2 linked regions of the Pelodiscus sinensis genome follow. The protein of the gene in region 1 binds, or shares a complex with, the protein of each later gene. Links are inferred from orthologs where the notes say so. Each region holds a gene or a part of one and is shown in the gene's direction. Other genes may lie near its edges.

What was found.
Region 2: the proteins of HCRTR2 (region 1) and HCRT are in contact, whole or in part, in a cryo-EM structure (PDB 7L1U), measured with the Homo sapiens proteins. The link is inferred for Pelodiscus sinensis from reciprocal best matches to the Homo sapiens genes HCRTR2 and HCRT. Residues at the interface, in NP_001371201.1 of Homo sapiens: Thr111, Val114, Trp120, Pro131, Gln134, Thr135, Val138, Gln187, Val209, Cys210, Asp211, Phe227, Thr231, Ile320, Ser321, Asn324, Lys327, Arg328, Phe333, Ala334, Thr336, Arg339, Val342, Tyr343, Phe346, His350, Tyr354; in NP_001515.1 of Homo sapiens: Asn89, His90, Ala91, Ala92, Gly93, Ile94, Leu95, Thr96, Met97.

Annotation. Positions count from the first base shown.
Region 1 is NC_134713.1:42,993,247-43,004,212, forward strand, and holds the start of HCRTR2 (orexin receptor type 2), read left to right. Parts: upstream 1-5,495; 5' UTR 5,496-5,817; coding exon 5,818-6,046; intron 6,047-10,966. UniProt on the Homo sapiens protein: Nonselective, high-affinity receptor for both orexin-A and orexin-B neuropeptides. Triggers an increase in cytoplasmic Ca(2+) levels in response to orexin-A binding.
Region 2 is NC_134739.1:9,248,815-9,260,182, forward strand, and holds the start of HCRT (hypocretin neuropeptide precursor), read left to right. Parts: upstream 1-7,207; 5' UTR 7,208-9,562; coding exon of another isoform or gene 9,563-9,583; 5' UTR 9,584-9,597; coding exon 9,598-9,621; intron 9,622-11,211; coding exon 11,212-11,368. Other genes in the region: inactive phospholipase C-like protein 2, read left to right, coding at 222-331, 5,715-5,900. UniProt on the Homo sapiens protein: Neuropeptides that play a significant role in the regulation of food intake and sleep-wakefulness, possibly by coordinating the complex behavioral and physiologic responses of these complementary homeostatic functions.

The DNA of each region.
Region 1 (10,966 bases):
GTCAGGGGCCATGTTAGTGAGGATTTGTTTGTTTGTTTGTTTTTGTTTCTCACTTGTGTGAGGCCCCTGACCCAAAAAAGGTTCCCCACCCCTGCTTTAGCCTTTTAAATAACTTTCTTGTTTCCCTTTCCCATTTAATAGATCTTTATATAATATCCTACAAGTGCTGTCTTTGGAGAGAGGTTTAAGGTGCAATTGTCCTGGAGTAATAGACTGAACTAGGAATAAACCAAATACTGCTGTGTCCTTGGTGTAAGGGACAGATCAGGGAGCCAGCTGAGAACTCTGACCCTGCAGGGGTGAAGACACCATAAGGGAGCTCCTTTTTTTTAAGCCAGTCATCATTCACAGCCCTGCAGCACTCATCCTCAGCATCTCATCTGCCTGGAAGGGTGCTGGGGATTGTGTGCAGTGGTGAATGCATGGGGGTGAAGAGCATCTAAATTTAATCTTAATCTTTTCCTTCCCTATATCCTTTGTGTCCTGGCTCCAGATAAGTCCCCTGTGTAATATTTTTCATTTCTTGTGGCTAGTCCTAATTTATTGTGTTATTCTTCTACTGTGTTATATTCCTGGCGAATAGGAATAGTATTGGTCATTTTCCCAAGGGAAGGCCCCCTTGTATTCCAAGCACAGAGAGGAGTCAGTTTTCACCAAGTGTGGAAATAAGGAACCCAGGACTCAATCCATGAGAAGAGAGGAGAGAAGCCATGGGTTTCTGATTAGCAAACATCAGGGGAGGAGGTTTGAGGCATGCCTTGGGAGAGAAGCTACATTTAAATTACAAAACAAGGTGAATTAATGCTGCAACAAATGTAAGACTGAAACAAATGCCAGGCTGCCTACATTGTCTTTAGTTCCATTTTAAGGTGTATAGATGATCACATTCTTTATTCTAAAAATCATGGGTTTGGCTGTGTAATTTCTAATGTAGTGCTCTAGATATCTAGGATGTTGCAGCTATGGCCTGCTCTTCATTTAATATTAATGGCTGTGGGGATTTAAAATTGATAAAAGCTTTTACCATTCATTTATCTTCCTCTCTCTCTGTTTTCTCCCTCTTCCACACTATATTTGAGTTGAGGAGAGCCCTGCTGCTTGTCAGGCATTGCTCAGTGTTGCTGCCAAAGCAGTGGGATTTGTTTGATGCATCTCTTGAAGGCAAGTGCTGTGAGTGGTCCTTCTTTGCAGCTTGACCATGATGTTATGGCAATTGGTAAACAGCCAAGATGCTGAGAGGTAGATAGATCAAGAGGAAAAAAAGGGGGCAGTAGAAGATGGTGAAATTAGAGCAATGGAAGGAAGGTGAGGCGGGGAAGGGCAGATTTCCATGGCCACCTTCTCTGGGGTCCCAATTCAGCAGTCCATTGTTATTCAGCAGCATGAGCTGAAGTACTTTGCTGACTAGGAACAGGCCTAGTCACGAGTTTAGATGCTTTGCTGAATTGGTATCCATGAGCTCATATGACCTTTAAGCAGCAGTCTGTGGACTTCTGACAACATAAATCTTGCTTTCTGTTGTGAAAAATCAAATCTGGTCTCTCATTTCAGATGCTCCTAAGTTCATGCAGAACTCAGTCTTTTTGGTTCTTTGTCACAAAGGTTTAAAAATGAAGAAACTGATCTGTAAAGTAGAAAGAGGTGCTGCTTATTTGTGTTATTAAATATATGTCGGTTATAAAATTCATACTAGCAGAAGGAAAATGTACTTGAAGCAAAAATAAAATCTGAACCCTGAAGTGGGGGGGCTAGATTGGTCTTATCTCCAACTGAATGATGGCAATACCTTTGAGATAGCATAAGCTACAAAATATAAATTGAGTTGGATTAATATTTATATTGTATAATATAATTTTTGTATGTAACATCATAAATTGAAAGCTACAAGATATTTTACTAGGAATGACTGATTTATTTCGGTATTTGTGGAAATTTAAATGAGTGATTATGGGTTAAGTTTGCATATATCAGTCTCTCTTCTTTCACCTAAATGAAATGCCAGACATTAGCCTCACTGGGGGAAAAGGTTGACAGATATAAATTGGAATTTAAGTTTCTTAATTCAGATTTGGTATATTCTCTATAGGCTTGTAAATTTGAAAACATCATTTGTTACATAGTTTGGTTCTGATAAATAAGAAATTGAGTTTAATGCATCAGAGACATTTATAGTTCACATGAATGTACAAGAAGACTAAGGTTTAAATCATAATAGTATTGCTAGAGATGGTGTAATAAAAATAGATAAACAGTCAAATGTAGCCAGTTAAGCTATTATGCTGATATGATTTGGGAACATCTAAAATGTAATAACTAGAGATGGTTTCCCCCTTTAGATGATTATAATGAAAATTAACAAACAAAAATAAAATGTCAATGGGCCAATAGATATTAAATATATTTCCTGAGGAATCTCTGGGGATTGTGTAACTCTACAATTCCAGGTAAGCAAAAAATCTAGCCTTTGAGGCTATACCTTCAGGAGGGGCTACAGTGTGATAGGCCCATTGGCTGATTAATGCAATGTAGAAGTTGTGCCTGGATTCAAACTTTGAGATTGGGGTGATGTGTATGACCAGCATGCTGTGACAACTGATGTAACAGATTAGAAGTTGCACTGGTGAATGAAAAGCAAGTTTAATGAGGTAAGGGTACCAAATCTATCTCAGTGAAGTCAGTGCAATTAGAAAGGCATCCCCAGAGCTAGACTGAACAGGTTTCATAACCCCTACATGTTGAAAAGTGGTAACTTCATATCTCAGCAAATGTTTGTGAGATGGGTCCATGAAAAGGGTGTGGAAGGGAGAAATGAAGGCAAAAAGGAGGAATACATTTATATTATTACTTCCAAAGCCCATTTTCTGGATGTTATTCTCTCCCACACAAGCTGGAAAAGGGAAAGACAGTATCCAAGGTGGCAAAGATGGAGAAGATAGTACAGAAGATGGATTGGCATTTAGATAACGTGGGTGACTGAGATAAAGTAGCTGTGGTGTTTGATTGGCTTGTTTATTGAATATCTTGGTCTCTTGGCTGGTGATTCAGGGTTGCCAGTGGAAATTCAAGACATGTATTGGAAAGAACCATGGAATGTGTGAGACTTGCTACATTCTCTTTTAGTTGCAGGTATATAAATTGTGAGGGATCAAAGTGTAACCCACAAGTCTTTCAAGATGTGAAGAAACTCACCAGTCGATTAAAAGAACAACTGTGGCCATCCATAGGGAGGTCCTCAGCAATGTTGTGCAATTCCCTAGAGAAACTGGATATCTGCTTCCACAATGGAAATCACATCATGATTATGGTGGAAATGGACTTGGCTCCGATATCAGCTATATGCAAGGAAGACTGCAATAATCTTCTCTCTAAGAGTTGCCCTTTGTTTATGATGTTCTTAAATTGTTTTGTGCTGTTTGTCTCATTCATTTACTATTTCCACAACCAGGGAATTCAGTGACACTTCCAAGTACTTTGCTAAAATGCAATATTTTAGTTGGCACATTTACTGGTGGTGGATTGTACAGTTGGAGTCTGCCAGATGGTCTTAGCAGGCTCTAATAAAGCCAGATTCACAAGGAGGGCTGCAGGCAGAAGCTTGAAGCATGCAATATGTCCAGAAGTTTATTATGAAAGCCTTTGACCTTCACTATTGGGGTTTGAAACACATAGCCACTATGTACTTCATCAGCTCCTGAAATAGTTTAGTTATTTTCCATGGAAAGTGGTTGAGGGATTAGAACCCCATACAGCAATGAGGAGATATTCATGTGGTTGCCTCTTGCCTCCTGTTCTTCCAAAAATGTCCTCTGCTGACTCTAGTTTGTGGGGTGTGAGTAAGGGCTCGGGGAATAGGTCTGCCTATTTGACCTGCAAGAGTGACACAGAGACCTTAGGAATTGTTGGCATTACAGGCCCAGGATTCCCAATAAGACCACTGGGGAGAGCCATGCACCATTGATAACACGAGGGAGACAGAGGATGACATCATCTGTGCTTTGATGTCTCTCAATTGGTGGAAGAATGGTGTCTTGCAGAAAATACCATTGAACTGACATCCACAAATCAGAAAACTCAGCAACTTTTTTTGGGGGAGGGTATGATAACTGATTTCAGTAGCTACCCCCATTCTAGCTCTCTTCCACTGCTGATACTCTTCTCCCCAAAAGTGAAGTTAAATTTAGTGATGTGTCAAGCTGGAACAGGACAGGGGAAATGTGGGTGGGAGTACAGAGAGAAGGCTGCATGGAGAAACTTGGGAGGAAAACAAACTGGAGTTACAGAAAGAGGCATGAGAAGAGGAGGCAGAGGGGAAGGGCAACAGCACAGAGAAGGGGCTGACGAGCTAGGGAGGGTAGTTTTGGAATATCAAGGACAGGTGTAAGTGTACATCTAAGGATTCCTAAATGTGAGCCCCACATTGCACAGCACACGTGTATACACAGGCAGTGAGCATACACACTTGCTTACAGGTTGGATTACATATACAGGCAGTCCCCGAGTTACGTGGATCCGACTTACGTAGGTCCCACTGCCTGCGTCCTCCGGGGCAAGAAAAGCTGCGGAGCACGCGGGCAGCAGGACAGCCCAGACGCGCCGCGGCTGTCCCGCTGCCGGTGTCCTCCGAGGCTTTGCTCCCCGTCTCCCTGGTCTGCTGGGGGGGCTCCCCTCCAGCAAACCAGGGAGACGTGGAGCAGCTTTTCTCGCCCTGGAGGACATGGGTGGCGGAGGATGTGGGCAAAGCCTCAGAGGACGCCTGCAGCGGGACAGCCGCGGCGCGTCTGGGCTGTCCTGCTGCCCGCGTGCTCCGCAGCTTTGCTCCGCGTCTCCCTGGTCTGCTGGGGGGGGGGCGCAGCTAGTGCACCTCCCCCCCAGCAGACCAGGCTTTTCTCGCGGAGACACCTGGGGTAGAACAGCTGGGGCGCTGCCAGGTTGGTCCCACAGCGCCGCTCCTCGGCGCTACTGGACCAACCCGGCAGCACCCCAGCTGCTCTGCCCCAGGTGTCCCCAAGTCAGCCGCTGCTGAAACTGACCAGCGGCTGACTACAGGAAGCCTGAGGCAGAGTTGCTCTGCCCCGGGCTTCCTGGAATCAGCCTCTGATCAGTTTCAGCAGCAGCTGACTTGGGGACACCTGGGGTAGAGCAGCTGGGGTGCTGCTGGGTTGGTCCCTGCAGCGCTGAGGTGCGGCGCTGCGGGGACCTACCCGGCAGCGCCCCAACTGCTCTGTCTCAGGCGTCCAAATTCATCCTCTGTTGAAACTGATCAGTGGCTGATTCCAGGAAGCCCAGGGCAGAGCAACTCTGCCTCGGGCTTCCTGTACTCAGCCGCTGGTCAGTTTCAGCAGCAGCTGAATCTGGATGCCAGTTCCGACTTACATACAAATTCAACTTAAGAACAAACCTACAGTCCCTATCTTGTACGTAACCCGGGGACTGCCTGTACTCTCACATTTGGAAGCAAAGTGCCCACTCCTCCTTCTCCCTCTAAGGATTTGCTGTGTATTGCAGAGTCTGTGCCAGAATTATGCATTTGTAAGCATGTGCTGTGCCGGCTCCTCTGTCACAGCAGACTCTGATGCCGAGTCCTCATTCCCTCTCCCAGAGCTGCTGTGTGTGCAGCTTTGCTGAGAAGTGCTGCCAAGGTAGTGGGAGAAGTTGTCAAAGGTTCCCTCATCATTGGCTCTGTAACTTTTCATTTCCTTTTCTCCATTTCTCCTCACACTGGGCTTGCCATTCCACAGCACAAGTGTAAATGGATGGACTTCAGAGAAGCTAGAAGTACTGACCAGGTTTGATCCCAGACCCAGGCTAAAACCAGTGATGTCCGAGACAAAACTGGATAATGAGTCCCCTTCTTGTGGGAACTGGTCATCTGCTCCAGAATGGAATGATACTCGGGAGCCTTTGTCAATCCCCTCTGCTGACTATGATGATGAGGAATTTCTGCGATACCTTTGGAGAGAATATTTGCATCCAAAAGAATATGAATGGGTCCTGATTGCAGGATATATTGTTGTTTTCATTGTGGCTCTCATTGGAAACATCCTAGGTGAGTAGCACTCTGCATTTCTCCTCTGAAGAGTTGTAATATAACCTGTTTGCACGGATTTTCAGGCAGCCTATACTATGAATAAAAGGTAGGTGAGTTAACAGTGGCATCTGGGAACATTGTTTCTTGTATCCGAGAGTGAAAGTTAGATTTAGACAAACAGGGGACATGAATGTGTTTGTATCTGGCAGTTTATTTTGAAATTAAAATGGCTAACTCTTCATGTCATTTGTCATGCTTGGTATTTAAGAGGCTGGGAGCATCATGTTTTGAGAGTGTTAAAAGCAGCTCTTATCACTGTTTTCATTTAGAGAGCTACATTAAGACAGTCGGCTTTCTAGCTGTTTACTAACTAACAATTAGTCATGGTTGTAATTAGAATCCCCAAGAAACAAGCTCATCCAAACTAGGAAGGTTGTGTCAATGAAATGTTTGTTCTCTAATCTCTGTCCAGCTGGCAGTAGTGCTGAAATTCTCCAGCCCCATTCAGATCTTTGCAGACATATGTTTTCCTTCATGTGGTGCTGACAGCTGCTCTTGACAGCACTTCTGTGTCTGGTCATAATGCTGCTTTTCATTCAGAAATTCTCAAACAAGTTAGCAGAGTTTAACTTAGACATTTCAATGCAATGGCTATTTATACTCACCTGACAGGAGCACTCCAGGCACTGACAAATGTGGAAAGCAGATTAAATCAAGAACTTGTTCTTATATCAGTTGTTTGAATAGATTTCTATGCTAGGGTGAATGCTAGGGTTCAAGGATATAACTATGTAGAATGAAGCACTCCCAGCTTTCAGCCAGGGGGAGAAAGCAGACAAAAATCTCAATCTCTCTCTCTCTCTCTCTCTCTCTCTCTTTTCCTACTCTCACCCAAATTTCATTCATCTGTGAAGGAGGAGGAGGAAGGGAGGTAGTGCAGCAGGAAACTAAGAACACTGGCTGCTGCTTCATGCAGGGTTGCTCAGAATAATCTATTGGGAAAAAGTGCGGGGGACTTTGTTTGGGGGGACATGGAGGAGGGAACCTGGGGAATTTGAGGGAGGTGAACTGGTGAGTAAGGAAGGCAGAGAAAAGAGGAGGAAGGAATAGGAAGATGGAGGGATTTGAAAGTGAAGCAGAGCAAAGGGGAAGGTTGGAGGTTCTTTACCAGGTAGACTAAGAGAAAGAATGTCCAAGTGAGTGATGGAGGCAAGGAAGACATGAGGCAGGGAATGGAGAAAAGCAATATCATGAGTGAAAGTTAAAGTGAAACCTTAGGGCAGAAAGTCATGGGAATGTTAAGAGTCAAGATAGGGGAAAATGGGGATGGAGGAGTAACTGAGAATTTCGAAGTGAAACAACTGGGATATATTTGAGGTAGAGGGAGGGAGGAATGGTGCAGGGCCAGAGTGTGGAGGGAGCAGAAGAAAGAACAGGCAGGAATCTGGAGTATGGCAACAGTGAGAATTGTTGAAAAGCAAAGGCAGAAAGAGGATGAGGGGGGAAGGAAGGATGGGGGAAGAGGAGCTTGTGTATAAGAAACAGATTTAAATACAGAGAAGAGTGACTGGGGGAGATGGAAGATGGCTTTGGAATAAGGAGAAGAAGCTAGGGTGTTTGGGGAAGCTGGGAGTGACTGAAGAGAGAAAATGTGAAGGGATTTATCAGAAGCCAGTATCCTTAGAAGCTAAAAGTAGCTCTCGGGTAAAATAATGGAATAATTTAGGGAAATAACATATATAACTCTTTGGAATCTAACGTAAGCAGAGATTTTAAAAAAAACACTCCAGCAGTTATGTCCAAGGCTTCATTTCTAGGACAAATAAATCATGCCACACAACTAGTGGAGAATTAAGGCTACATGTAGGGACTGTGCTTAAAGTTCTTGAAACTACAGGGTACTGGACTCACGGGGGGATTAAAATGCCCAGATATCTTTTGGGTTCACTCACAACCAAACTTGCATCATCAGTGAGATGCTGAGTTACACAGGAAAGAGTTTTATAACCCAAGAAGTAAAAAATGCAGCCACAAGAGAAGTCATCTTGGACTAACTTGCTACCAGTTAGGAGGAAGTGATTAAAAATATGAGGCAAATAAAGAAACGATATGGTGTGTTTGTGAGCTACTTGAATTCAACAGTGTAATGAAGGGGTTAATAAAAGTATTAAAATATCCATTGATCAGAGTCAAATGGGAGGAATTATTCAAGTCATAATGGTAGAAAAAGACTGAACAATCTGAACATACCTCAATGAAGGCAGAACTTCTCGGGAAGTTAGTGGGGGAAGAAGAGACAAGAGGACTGGCAGGAACAAGACATGGCTACTATAATGAGAATGGAAAAGGGAGGAAGTCAACCAAACAAGACTGTATGGGCTGGCTGAAAAAATTGTGCCAGTTATGTGAAATAAGAATCTGAAAGGTGTTGGTCCTGTAACACACGTATTAGATGTAGTGTGACAAGGGAGAAAATTTCCGTATTGACTCTCATTTTAATTTTTCCCATGGTTTCCATTTTTTAGTTGTATAATTTCTCACTGGCAGTTCAGATACCCTAGCAAATTAAAATAACTACCATTCTAATGGATAATTGACATTTACATTCTGCAGTAACCACTTTTTAAAATAAACCCTTTTATGGATTCAGTACATTTCCCAATAGCCACATCCCCCCACATGTGGTACCCATTAATGGTCCCTAGACCACAGGTGGAGAAACTTCAACATTTTTATTTAAAAGAAACCACTAAGATGTTCCTGCATTAAGAATTAAAATAAAGTCCTATTTTCACCCTGTATTGTAGCTACCAGTGGTTAGCAGATTTCCATCATTTAAATGTTTTTCCCTCACTTTAGCATGAGTGTCTCTTGGACCATTTCTAAGGGTATGTCAACACTACCCCGCTAGTTCGAACTAGCGGGGTAATGTAGGCATACCGCACTTGCAAATGAAGCCCGGGATTTGAATTTCCCGGGCTTCATTTGCATAAGTGGGGAGCCGCCATTTGCATAAGTGGGGAGCCACCATTTTTAAAACCCCGCTGGTTCGAACCCCATGCAGCGCGAAGTGTACCAGTAGTTCAGAATAGGAAGCCTAATCCGAACTACCTAGTTCGAGCCCCGTGTAGCCGCGCTGCACGGGGTTCGAACGAGCGGGGTTTTAAAAATGGCGGCTCCCCGCTTATGCAATTGAAGCCCGGGAAATTCAAATCCCGGGCTTCATTTGCAAGTGTGGTATGCCTACATTACCCCGCTAGTTCGAACTAGGAGGGTAGTGTAGACATACCCATAAGGACATAAGATGTCATTGACACAAATCTTGTTTTTTAGTGGGAATTGGAGAACTGCAGCAACAACTGAAGAGATGCTGGATCTTTTGAGAGGACACTTTACAGGGGTGCTTGAAAATCCAGATTAATAAGCAGGAAGTGTTAGAATGTTTGAACAGTAAAATGCAGACATAAAAGTGGCTGGCTCTGCAAGCCTAAGATCATCTGAAGAAGGAATGGCTAGTGAAGTCTGAGATTTGGTGAATCTCATGCTAACTGAATTTTCCATTTTAAGTAAAACTATTTTGCAAAATCTTTTTCTGTAATTTAACACAATTATTTTAGTACTACAATTATAACATTTTTCTCTCTAAAGAGGAACTTGTGCAACTTGTGCTATGTATTAGAGATTGTAGAAAAAAAGTTAGGCTGTCCCAAGTGACTTGTAGCTACATATATTTGATGAAGTCCTTAGCTGGTGTATGATAGTATAGTACCCTTGTCTTCAATGAATCTACCACCACTTTACACAATTTGAAGATCTGACAGTAGTGCATTGTTATTAAATTTGGTTTCTTTTTTCATTTTTGTTTTTTATTCAGCAATCCTCATAACCAGAATAGAAACTCAATACAAATTCAGTTGAACCTTGGTCATGGTGCTAATCGTAGAGATAGGAGTAGCAGAAAATGAGAAACTTGGGAGACTCCTAAGATCTGAGTCCTCTCTCATTTGAATTACTTTCATGTTCATTTAAAACTCTTGGCTTCAGTGGACCTATCTTAGTGCAAGTGAAATCAATATCTGGTCTATAATCATTGGATGATTTGAAGCATAGAGCTATAGCTAAATCCACAGTTTGAATTAAAACCTTTGAGATGTGGTGCTATGAATCTCCTAGTTGGGAAAAAAAAGACAAGTGCTTATGTTAAATATTCTTGGAGAGAAGCTGATCTTGATATTGGAAATCAACAGAACTACACTTTTGGGCGACGTCTGCACTGCAAGCTTTTTGCGCAAAGAGCTGTTTTGCTCAAGAGTTCTTGCGCAAAAGGTCTTGCGCAAGAGCGTGTCCACACTGCCATGTGCTCTTGCACAAGGGATGTGCTTTTGTGCAAGAGCATCCATGACAGTGTGGACACTCTCGTGTGCAAGAAAGCTCTGATGGCCATTTTAGTCATAGAGGTTTCTTGTGCAAGAAACCCCTATTGCTCATCCACATTGCCTTGTTGCGCAACAGCTCTTGCTCAAGAGGGCTTATTCCTCATGGGGAACAGAATAACTCTTCTGCAAGAGACCCTCTTTTCTGATGCTCTACTGTAAATTTACTTGCGCAAGAACACATATGCAGTGTAGATGCTGTGCAAGTTTGTTCTGGTGCAAAAAGCCTGCAGTGAAGACGTAGTCTTTCAGGCTAGGGGCAGCTATGGGGACCCCCTGATCGGCCCTGCGGATGAGGCAACCAGGCAGTGTGGTGGCCACACACTCATCCCTAAGCCCCTCCACATCCCATGCCCTGAGCCCCCTTGACTGCAGTCCCCTGTTCTGGGCCCCTCCCATACCCAACCTCGTGCCCTGACTTCTGCACCTCCCACACTTCTGCCTGGAGCACCCCCACCTGACTCCCCTGCCCTGACTCCTGCATACACACCCTGTCCTAAGTCTC
Region 2 (11,368 bases), on another chromosome or scaffold:
ATCTCTCCTGGCCTCAGCCGCCTGTGCCAGCTCAGCTGCCTGGCTTGGTGCCGGCTGTCCCCGGCTGTTTCTGCTTGTGCAGCCACCGTATGGAGCCAGCTCTGGGCACCCACCCTGCAGCCGGCTTTGCTGTGGGCATGGCAGCCTGGCCCCCAGGTCTCTGCCCCGTGGCTCTGGGCACTGGCTTGGCATGACAAGCACCTTCTTGCTCTGCTCCCCAGGGATGGATTTCCACAAGGAGCTGCACCACCTGGAAGCCCAGGAAGGGCTGAAGGGCAGGAAGCTGCAGAAGGCCCTGGAGAGTTTTGCCTGGAACATCACGGTGCTGAAGGTAACGCCGGGGCCTGGCCTGGGTTGCTGGCTGCTGTTGGGCTGGGGCTGGGGAGAGATTCCCTCTAGATGTTCAGCTGCAGCAGTTTCCTCGTGACTCGGTTTCCCTCAGGTTAGAGGAGCCCTACAGACTAGATCCTGAGCACCAGAGAGACCAAGAGCCGGGGTTGGATTCCACCACCTCCCTAGGGAACCCATTCCAGTGCTTCACCACCCTCCTAGGGAAATAGTTTTTCCTAATATCCAACCTAGACCTCCCCCACTGTAACTTGAGCCCATTGCTCCTCGTTCTGCCATCCGTCACCACTGAGAACAGCCTCTCTCCAGCCTCTTTGGAACCTCCCTTCAGGGAGTTGAAGGCTGCTCTCAAAACCGCCCTCACTCTTCTCTTCCGCAGACTAAACAAACCCAAATCCGTCAGTCTCTCCTCATAGGTCATGTGCTCCACCCCCTAATCATTTTGGTTGTCCTCCGCTGGACCCTCTCCAATGCGTCCACATCCTTTCTATAGTGGGGGGTCCAGAACTGGACACAATACTCCAGGTGTGGCCTCACCAGAGCCGAATAAAGGGGAATAATCACTTCTCTATCACTTCTCTAGATCTGCTGGCAATGCTCCTCCTAATGCACCCTAATATGCCATTAGCCTTCTTGGCTACAAGGGCACACTGTTGACTCATATCCAGCTTCTCATCCACTGGAACCCCCAGGTCCTTTTCTGCAGAACTGCTACTTAGACAATTGGTCCCCAGCCTGTAACAATGCTTGGGATTCTTCCATCCCAAGGGCAGGACTCTACACTTGTCCTCATCAGATTTCTTTTGGCCCAATCCTCTAATCTGTCTAGGTCACTCTGGACTCTATCCCTGCCCTCCAGGGTATCTACCTCTCCCCCTAGCTTAGTGTCATCTGCAAACTTGCTGAGGGTGCAATCCATCCCCTCAGCCAGGTTATTAATAAAGATGTTGAACAAAGCTGGCTCTAGAACCGAACCTTGAGGCACTCTGCTAGAAACAAACTGCCAACCTGACATTGAGCCGTTGATCACTACCCATTGGGCCCAACAGTCTAGCCAGCTTTCTATCCATCTTACAGTCCATTTACCAATCCATACTCCCTTAACTTGCTGGCAAGAATATTGTGGGAGACCGTATCAAAAGCCTTGCCAAAGTCAAGGTATATCACATCCACTGACTTTTCCATGTCCACTGAGCCAGTTACCTCATCATAGAAGCTAATCAGATTGGTCAGGCACGACTTGCCCTTTGTGAATCCATGCTGACTAGTCCTGATCACCAGGGCTCACCGATGCTGATCACTTTCCCCTCTTCCAAGTGCCTCAAAATGGATTCCTTGAGGATCCCCTCCATGATTTTTCCAGGGACTGAAGTAAGGCTGATTGGTCTGTAGTTCCCTGGATTGTCCTCCTTCCTTTTTTTAAAGATGGGCGCTACATTTGCCTTTTTCCAGTCATGTGGGATTTCTCCCGATCTCCACGAGTTTTCAAAGATAATGGCCAAAGGCTCCGCAATGACACTTGCCAGCTCCCTCAGTACCCTCGGATGCATTAAATCTGGACCCATGGATTTGTCTAGCTTTTCTGAATAGTTCCTCACTTCTTCTTTCCCCGCTAAGGGCTGTCCACCTCCTTCCCCTACTGCGTTGCCTAGTGCATTTGTCTGAGAGCTCACCCTGTCTGTGAAGATCGGGGCAAAGAAAGCATTGAGTACTTCAGCTTTTCCCACATCATCTGTCACTAGGGGTGTGTCTAGACTACATGCCTCCGTCGACGGAGGCATGTAGATTAGCCAGATCGGCAGAGGGAAATGAAGCCGCAATTAAAATAATCGCGGCTTCATTTAAATTTAAATGGCTGCCCTGCTCTGCCGATCAGCTGTTTGTCGGCAGATCGGGGCAGTCTGGACGCGCTGCGCCGACAAAGAAGCCTTTCTTGATCGGCACAGGTATGCCTCGTGAAACCAGGTTTACCTGTGCCGATAAAGAAAGGCTTCTTTGTCGGCGCGTCGCGTCCAGACTGCCCCGATCTGCCGACAAACAGCTGATCGGCAGAGCGGGGCAGCCATTTAAATTTAAATGAAGCCGCGATTATTTTAATCGCGGCTTCATTTCCCTCTGCCGATCTGGCTAATCTACATGCCTCCGTCGACGGAGGCATGTAGTCTAGACACACCCCTAGGTTACCTCCCTCATCCAGTAGGGACCTCACACCCTCTCTGATCACCCTCTTATTGCTAACATGCCTGTAGAAACCTTTCTTGTTCCCCTTCACATCCCTTGCTAGCTGCAATTCCAATTGCGCTTTTGCCTTCCTGATAACTCCCCTGCATTCTCGAGCTATATATTGATACTCCTCCCTAGTCATCTGTCCAAGTTTCCACTTCTTGTCAGCTTCCATCCTGCTCACCCAGGATGTCCCCGGTAAGCCAATCTGGGCACCTACCTCATTTGCTTTTCTTGCTTCGCATCGGGATGGTTTCTTCCTGTGCCTTCAATAAGGCTTCTTTAAAATACTGCCAGCTGTCCTGGACTCCTTTCCCCTTCATGTTAGCATCCCTGGTCCCAGCTCTGCCACCAGACTCCCTTGAGTCTGTCCCTTCCCTGGGTCCATTTCCCCACCTATTCCTGGGACAGGGCGAGGGCTGAGGCTGACCTGACCTGGAGAAGCCCCAGGCCCTGCTCCTGCAGGCAGTGAGAGCCAAGCACTAGGGATGTAGTAGTGTAGAAGCAAAAGCTTATAGGTTAATGCTAGAGACTACACGCATCCCCCCTTCCCCCTCCCTGTCCACCCCTCTCCAGTACATTTTTTAGCAGGCTGGCCAGCAGCCCAGCTCAGTCCTGGCTTGTGCCGGGTCCAGGACCTACCCCCGCTGCAACTCTGCATTTCTAATATATTAGGAGCCAGCCAGGCAGGCAGCCCGGCTCAGTTCCGGCTCGCACCGGGTCTGGGAGCTCAGACCTCCCCTGGAAAGGGGCTGCTGCCTCTGTATCAGAGGCAGCAGCACAAGGTGACAGGCAGCCGGTCCACGAGGGGGAGCTGGTTTTTAAACTGGATCCCCTTGCAGACCAGCTCCCACCTGGCTCCCTGCACTGCTGCCTCTGATACAGAGGCAGCAGCGCGGAGTGGCAGGGGGCTCCTCAGGAGTGGGGCTGGAGCGCACTGGCTGCTGGGCCCACCCCTGGGGACTATCGAATAGTCGAGTAACGGATAAGAACTCATGAGGTTAATCGACTCTTCAATTAACCGATATTTACCATCCCTACTCAGCACAGTGGTGTTTCCTCCGCCACTTGGCGTGCTGGGCCGTGATGCCGGGACGTGCCTCGGGGCTCAGGGGAGCTGGTGGCTCTGAGGAGGGACCAGCACCCTGTGATCTGGGCTTGTACTGGGCACCCCCCTGTGCTCGCTCTGCCTGTGTGGGAACGCTGAGCTCCTGGACTACCCTGCCAAGGGACCATCCAGCCCAGCTCCCATCAGCTGTTCTTGGGGGGGCCCCAGTATCCTGGCCTCCCCCTACCCACCACACCTGGCTGCCATAGTTTGGGTCACGTGGTCCCTGCTGGGCCATGGGGCACGTGCAGATGAGGGCAGCTCTAGGCCCTTGGACTCGGCTGTGCCCTGCCTGAGCCTGGACCGGGGCCCCACTGTTGTGGGCATGGGGTGGGATGTGGGGAGACCCCAATCTTGCTTGCATGGGCCCAGTCAGAGACAGGTTGGGTAAGGCACCGTGCCTGCCCTACGATGATCCTGTGCTGCCACCTAGGGGCCGTGTGGGGCTCAGGCCACCTCCCTGAGCAAGCACCCTTCCTGGCTGGGCCATGGCTAAGGGGGCTTTACGGTGCTGCCCTGGGGAGGTTGGGGCCAGCGGCACATGGGGCGGCTGCACCCCCGGCTGCAAGTGGTTTCCATCACGTCCAGGGGTCACAGTTCGGTTCAGTGGCTCTCAGCTCCCCTCCCTGTTCCCACACCCCCTGCCCACAGAGGGATGCGTTCTGGCAGGTTCTTGCTGCTCCCAGCTGGGCGCGGTGGGGTCTGCAGCACGCCAGGCTGTGCTGGTGCCGCTGCGGCAGCGTGGACCCACGTTCCCTACTCCCTAGAGGTGGTAAATATCGGTTAATTAAATAGTCGATTAACCTCATGAATTCTTATCGGTTACTCGATTCGTCTGTCGTCCCGGGGGGTGAGGCCGGCAGCCAGTGCAATGTGGCCCCAGTCCCGAGGAGCCCCCTGCCATCCTCGGGGTGGGCAGCAGTGCAGGGTGCCAGGCGGGAGCTGGTCCACGAGGGGAGCCAGTTTAAAAACCAGCTCCCCTCGCAGAGTGACTGCCTGCCATGGTGCCACCCTGCGCTGCTGCCTCTGATACAGAGGCAGCAGCGCAGGGTGGCAGCAGCCCCTATACAGTGGGGGTCTGAGCTCCTGGACCCAGCGTGAGCCAGAACTGAGCCGGGTTGCCTGCCCACCTGGCTCCTAATACACTTGAAATGCAGAGTGCAGGGTAGGTCCCAGGAGCCAGGCTGCTATCAAATTTACTAGCGGGGGAAGGAGGAATGTGTGTAGTCTACAGCGTTAACTGATAAGCTTCTGCTTCTCGATGAATTGGTTAGTCGACTACACTATGACATCCCTACTTCTCCCCGCACAACACCCCCTGCCGGCTTGCACCGGGCAGGCACAGAGCTGCAGTACCCAGCCTGGACTCCGGGTGGCCCCAGAGACAGGCACCAAAGCGGCTCGTGAGCCGTAAAGGGGGCCGGGCGTGGCTCCCGCACCGCTGCAGCCAGGCGGGTGCCCTGTGCGCAGGACTGGGCAGGAGAACCCCAGCCCCAGGCTGTGCTAGCAAAGGGTCCCCCCACGGACCATGTAAACACACCTCAGCTTGGACCTAGAGGGGAGAGGGAGTCTCAGCGATTCCAGCCACATGTGAGCTGGACCCCCGTCCCAGAGGCCGTGGCTGGTATTCCAGCCTGAGGAGCAACTTGCAGCCTGGGGCTGTTCTTAAGCGGGTGTCACCAGGGAGTCTCTAGAGCCGGTGTCTCCCGGGATTCTGAAGAGCGGGGATGCTGTCAGCGGCGAGGGGTCTCCTGCAGGTGTGGTGGGTCCGGGGGTCTGTGTGAGGCAGGCCAGGCGGCGTGATCACCTTGCTCGCTTCTGCCCTTGGTCTCTGAGCTCCGAGGCCCCGGGCAGGGCTGTGCCGGGCAGGGCTGTGCCGAGCTGGCTGGGGCGGAGGGGCGGGGACACTGTGTGTCTCATGGAGCAGAGGCTGTGCTTTAGGGGCAGCCGCTGAGCAATGACTCTGCCTGGGGAGGGAGTGTGGGGGCCCCCCTCATGTGCACCCCCCCTGACCTTTGGCCTCCCCCCGCTGCAGGGCCAGGCCGACCTCCTGAAGCACGCCAAAGCCGAGGCGCTGGACAACCTGTGGCAGATCCACAACGCGGGCCAGTCATGTGGCATCGGCAGGAACGGCTCCGCCTCCCCCGACCTCGGCCGGGGCCGGGTCCCGCTGGAGCCCATCTCTGAGACAGAAGGGGGCAGCGACACAGGGTCCTGCTGACCATGGGGCAGGGCATGGGGGCCAGGACTGAGCCAGCGTCCCTGGCGGAGGGGGCACCCTGCAGCGTCTCCGTCGCCCGTGGCCCCCAGCGCTCCTGCCATGGACCCAGGATTGTACAGGCGTTGGCCCCGCCCGAGGGGCCCGCAACTCCTAGGCTCTGAACCACGCGTGTGAAAGACACGAGCCCCGTGCAGCGCTGGCTGCCGGCGGGTGGGGACTGAACTGCCTATCCCAGGGCCATCTAGACAGGGGGTTCGGGTGGGGGCGGGGCTGGCGCTCTGCCTGGCCCCTGGCTGGGCTGGGGGGTGAGTGTCAGGCAGGGACGTGGCTCCGGAACTTGTGGCTCCTGCAGCAGCTCTGGGGCAAGGTGCTGGGAGTGGGAGAGGGAGCCGGGCTGGCTCCAGCCTGCATTTCACAATCAAACTGGTACCCAGAGCCCCCAGACCCCTGATCCTCCCTCCATGCCCCCCCCTCCCCGCTCTGACTGCGCTTTCTGTAGCAGCAGCTCTGCCTGCGGCAGGTGGCTGTGGGGGAGCATTGGGTTAAGTCGGCTGTGAAAACTCTTCCCCCCTCCCCGTGCAGGTGCAGCGGCTGGTCCTGTGGTGCGGGGGGTTGGTGTTTGCCCAGAGACGGACCCCTCCCCCCTCCGCACGGCAGGGCCACGGCAGTATCTGGCAGCTCTAGGGGCACCCGCGGGCGCCCAGCGAGCAGACGGGGTGGGAGGGGCACCGAGCGGACCACACCTGGCCCCTCTCGCCACCCGCTTGCCACACTGGTTCCCAGCTCAGGGCTGGGGCATTTGCCTGCGCCGGGCTCAGCCCTGCAGCTTCCAACCTGAGCTACCCCAGGGCTGGGAGGGGCCAGACAGGATGGTTCCCCCTTTTCCGGGGCTGCCCTCTGGCCCATCTGCTCTAGAGAATGTTCCCGGATAGGCTCAGAGTTCATGGGCTGCCCTCCCCCCCAAGTCCCATATAGGGCTGAGAGTGGGGGGAGGCCCAGAGCAGGGAGGTGTGTGGCTCAGGAAGCCACGCACCATCCCTGTGGTTCCTTGGGTGGGGAGGGGTGGAGTCGCAGAGCCTGGAAGCCCAACATTGGCCGGGGTGTCCACCCCCCGCGCCCTGTGTGTTCAGAGCTGAATGAAAGCAGTGGCATGTTATAAAGAGCCTCCCCCCTCACGCTGGTGTGCCTGTCTCTGAGATGGGGTGGGGGCTGGCTGCACTCCGGAGACGGGCAGGTGCCCTGGGCGGCAGGGCCTGGGAGGTCACGTGTGGGTCTGGGGGATCCTATGGGCAAGCTGGCCCTTAGCAGCCAGGAGCCGTGCTGGGCCTGGCATGGGGCAGCCCTGGGGTGCAGGCAGCCCACAGCGCCCCCACATCCCAGACTGCAGTGGCCTTAACCTGCGAGGGTTCCTGGGTGGGGGGCACTGTGCTGCTCCCATGGTGACTGCATGGGCCCAGGGACACCAGGCCCAGGGAAGGAGCGGGATGGGGGTGGGGGGTGTGCAGACTTTTGCTGCTGTGACGCTGGGCTGGCCTGGGCTCCCAGCCTGCAGGGGAGGCAGCGGTAACGTGCCCTACTCTTGCGCCATTCCTGGCCAGGACGCCTGCCGCTTTGGCCACATTACTGTCCCCCGACCCTGGCCCGTTGCCGTGGTGACTGGCCCATAGCCACGTGCCCTTGGCTTTCTGGGATGGAGATCCTGTCCTCCCTCTGGGCCCATGGGGAAAGCTCCCCTGGCAGCGGGGCGGATGGGGCTGGTGAAGCTCTCACACCCTAGAGTTGAGGAAAACGCCTCCTGGCCTAGCTTTGCCGGGCTGCTGCTGCACCCCGGATCCCGGCCCGGGAGGGGGAGGCCCAGAAACGCGGCCCCCTCCCCGGGAGCAGGGCTCCCTACGGACCTCGGGCCCGTGTCAGCTGTGTGCTTTATCCCCCCCACCCCACCTGTGTGCAGTCCAGGCCGGGCCCACGTCAGCTCCCCACACGCAGCCATGGGGCCTTGGCCTGTATCTGGGGGTTTTCAGCCAGGGCTGCCCCCACAGTGACGGCACTGACAGCCTCTCCCCCCGGGGGGCTGGGTTGCTGGGGTGGCTCTGCGTCACTGACCCACAGGGCATGGCTCTGCCCCCTGCTCAGTCCCCTTCAGGGCTCGGTGCATCTGGGCTCATTTCTCACAATGCCAGCCCCTGCTCCTGGTAGCCTGGGTGCTGTATGGAGAGTCAGCCCCCACCCCCATCAGCCCCATGTCAGCTGGAGGTCTCCAGCCCGTGCTGCCTGTAGTGCTGTGGGATGTAGGGGGCAGCTTAGGGCTAGCGGAAGTAGTCAGCTATGTGCCACGCTGCTGTTCCTGCCCTTAGAGGTGCTGGGGAGAGTCCTGGCTTCCGGGAGGGGGGGGGTCTTGGTCCCCATGAGAGCACTGGGTGGCTGCCATGGGCCCAGGCTGCCTGGGATGCTGCTGATAGGCCCAGCCAGACTGAAGTCACACGCACCCCCAGGCCTGGCAGGCCATGAGAACGGCACGTTTCACCCCTGGGCTGTGGCCACGGGGCCGTTCTGGCATGGCCACGGGCTGGGGGTGCTTCTGCCACCTCTGAGCAGTGGCCTATGGCTGGGCAGGGTTGGGGGAGCCGTGTAAGCCCCAGGGGCAGAAGGCACCTTGTGTCACGCTACTGACCCCTCCTGGCTGAGGCAGGAGCTGCAGGGAGCCCTCGCCAGCCTGCCGTGGCCCTGCTGCAAAGGGGGCTGCGGAGTTTGCCCTGTGCCGTGGGACCGACGGCCTGTCCCGGGGGCCACCCCCATGCTGCTCCCGGGGGCGATCCAGCTTGCAGAGCCGTGCGTATGGCTGGGGACAGATGCTAGCCTGGGGGCGGCAGTGGGGCAGTTCCTACGGCTGCCCATCCCTGGCCCAGATCCACCCTGGGGCAGCAGCAGCTCAGAGAGTCCGACGGGGCCCCGGGGCTCAGCAGGGAGCCCTGGAGGCCCTGGCTGGAGGAGTAATAACCCAACTCCCTGCTTTCTTGCCCTCACCGGTGCCCCCACTATAAAAACTGTTCCAGCCCCTCTAGTGGGGGAATTCTCCCGCAGGCAGGGCCTGGGGATCCGGAGGCGCACCGTGCCACGAGCGCACAGGGCCACGCCAGCGCCTCTGACGGGTGCAGCTTGGCTGTTGGTCACCCTTTGTCGGGACGCGGTAATTAGCCTAATGGGGCCCAGTCTCCCCCCTCCCTGCCTGGGGGCTGCTATTGTCTCCCCTCCCTTCCCAACCGCCGACCTTCCGGCTGCTTTGTGCCGCGCAGGCTGGCGGATTCCTTAGGAAATTACAGGCTCATTAGCGCCAGGGTACGCGGCCTGTCTCCAGCCAGCACGGCCACCAGGCGGCCGGGGCATAATGGGGAGTCACAAATGAGGGAACGGGCCTGGCCCGTCTCCAAGCAACGGGGAACAATGGGCGCGTGTCGCCCAGAGACAGGCCCTTCCTGCAGCCCCGGCCCCACGGCTGCCGGGGCTATTTTTGGCAGCACTGTTGTGTGGGGGCAGGGAATGAGTTTCAGGGTGGCCCAGCCCTATATAAGCCCTGGCTGCCCGGGAGCTCGGCTCAGGGTGTTGAGGCACCTCACCGGGTCATGCCATAGCTTCGCGCCGTCCCTTGAAGACTTCTCAGAGCGATGGCAGCGCCCAATGCCAAGGTACGGGCCAGGGCATGCGGGGGAGCAGACCCCAAAGGGTGAGTGCTGTGGCATGAGGGTGGCTTTCCTCCCCAGCAAGGTTCCCCTGCTGCGTTCCCGAGGGAAACCCTGCCAGCCACGGCACCAAAGGCTGGTGTGTCGCAATGTGTCCCAGCCCCGCGCCCGCGGGCAGTTCTGGGGAGGAGCCCAGCACATCAGGCCCTGGGGGGATGCAGGCCAGGGAGCAAGTGGCGTCTGCTTTGACTCTTCCTGGTGTCTCCTGATCGCCGACCTGGCACCTGTGGCCTGAGCCACCTTGGCCGTGAGGCTACGGTGTCAATTGCTCCCTGCTCAGAGCTGTGGTGCGTCGCACGGGGAAGCGCAGCCCTCACTTAGGGTTGCCAGGTGTCCGGTTTTCGCCCAGACATCTGGTATGTTGGTTTGGGTTTTTTTTTTCTCTTTCTCAAGAACTTTGGCTCCCCCCCCCCCCTTTTTTTTTTCCTCCATCAATTTTTTTCCTGCCATGTTCGGGGGTTTTTGTGAAAGCATCTGGCAACCCTGACCTCGCTGGGCGCCGGGCAGTGCACAACCGAGCCCGCAGTCAGAGTGAAAGGGAGACTGGGCAGCTACAACATGTAACGCCTCCCTGACCCCGCCAGGGGCCTGCGGCAGCTGGGGCACGACCCCTGCCAGCCACGCACATAACAGGCTGAGCTGCTCACCAGCACCAGTCCCTGCCTTGCCCCAGCAGGCTCCCTGGGGGCAGCTTTGTCTCCATGACGCACCCTCCGCCAGCCAGGGGGCCAATTAGTGCTAATTGCCACTGTGGCTGCTTCTCCCTTATGGAAATGGGGGGGGGGGGGGGGGGGCTTTCTACAGCGTTGCCATGGGGCGAGGGGCAGAGAACAGTGAGTGAGTCTGGCCCCTTTGGCGCTTTGCAGCAGGTCACTAGGGCCTGTGCACAGGGTGTGTGGCAGCTAGCGCTCCTGGGCTACGTCTCGATTTTTCGTAAAAAGGATGCAAATTAGACGTATCGCAATTGCGAATGAAGCGGGGATTTAAATCTCCCCCGCTTCATTAGCATAAAAATGGCTGCCGCTCTTTTTCGGCACGGAGCTTTGCCGGAGAAAAGCGCCAGTCTAGACGCGGATCTTTCGGAAAATAAAGCCTTTTCCGAAAGATCCCTTAGCCCTCTTAAAATAAGGGTCTAGTCCCAGCTGCGGGAGGGCAGTATGGGCTAGTGGTTAGGGGGCAGGAGGCCCACAAGAATGTTGCGCAACCCAAGCCCTGGAGGTGGCCCTGGGAGAGTGGGGCATGCTGGGTATTTTGGGGGCAGTGTTTGCGGAGAGTTCACAGTGGGGCAGGGTAGTGAGGTGGCGCCCGCGTGGGTTTTCTGGGAGAGGGAGGGGCTAGGCCTGTGAGGTTGGGGGGAGCGGTTTGGGGGACCTTGTTGGGGCCCTCCACGGGCTGGTCTTTGGTACCAGCCAATCTCTCCTTGGTGGGGTCGGCACCGCAGGGCGTCTTGCCGGGGCTCTCAGAGCCCAGATGCAAAGCTAGATGGGCCCCTGGGCTGAGCTGGGGTGTCGCTGGGTTTATCCCCGTTGACACCCGCCTGGCCCTGCGCTCACACTTGCCTCTTGTGCTCACAGATCCACAAGGCCTCCTGCCTCCTGCTCCTGGCCCTGCTCTGCTCCCTGGCTGCGGCCGGGCAGAGCATGCCCGTGTGCTGCCGCCAGAAGACCTGCCCATGCCGGGTCTATGACGTGCTGCACGGCCTGGGGAACCATGCTGCCGGCATCCTCACAC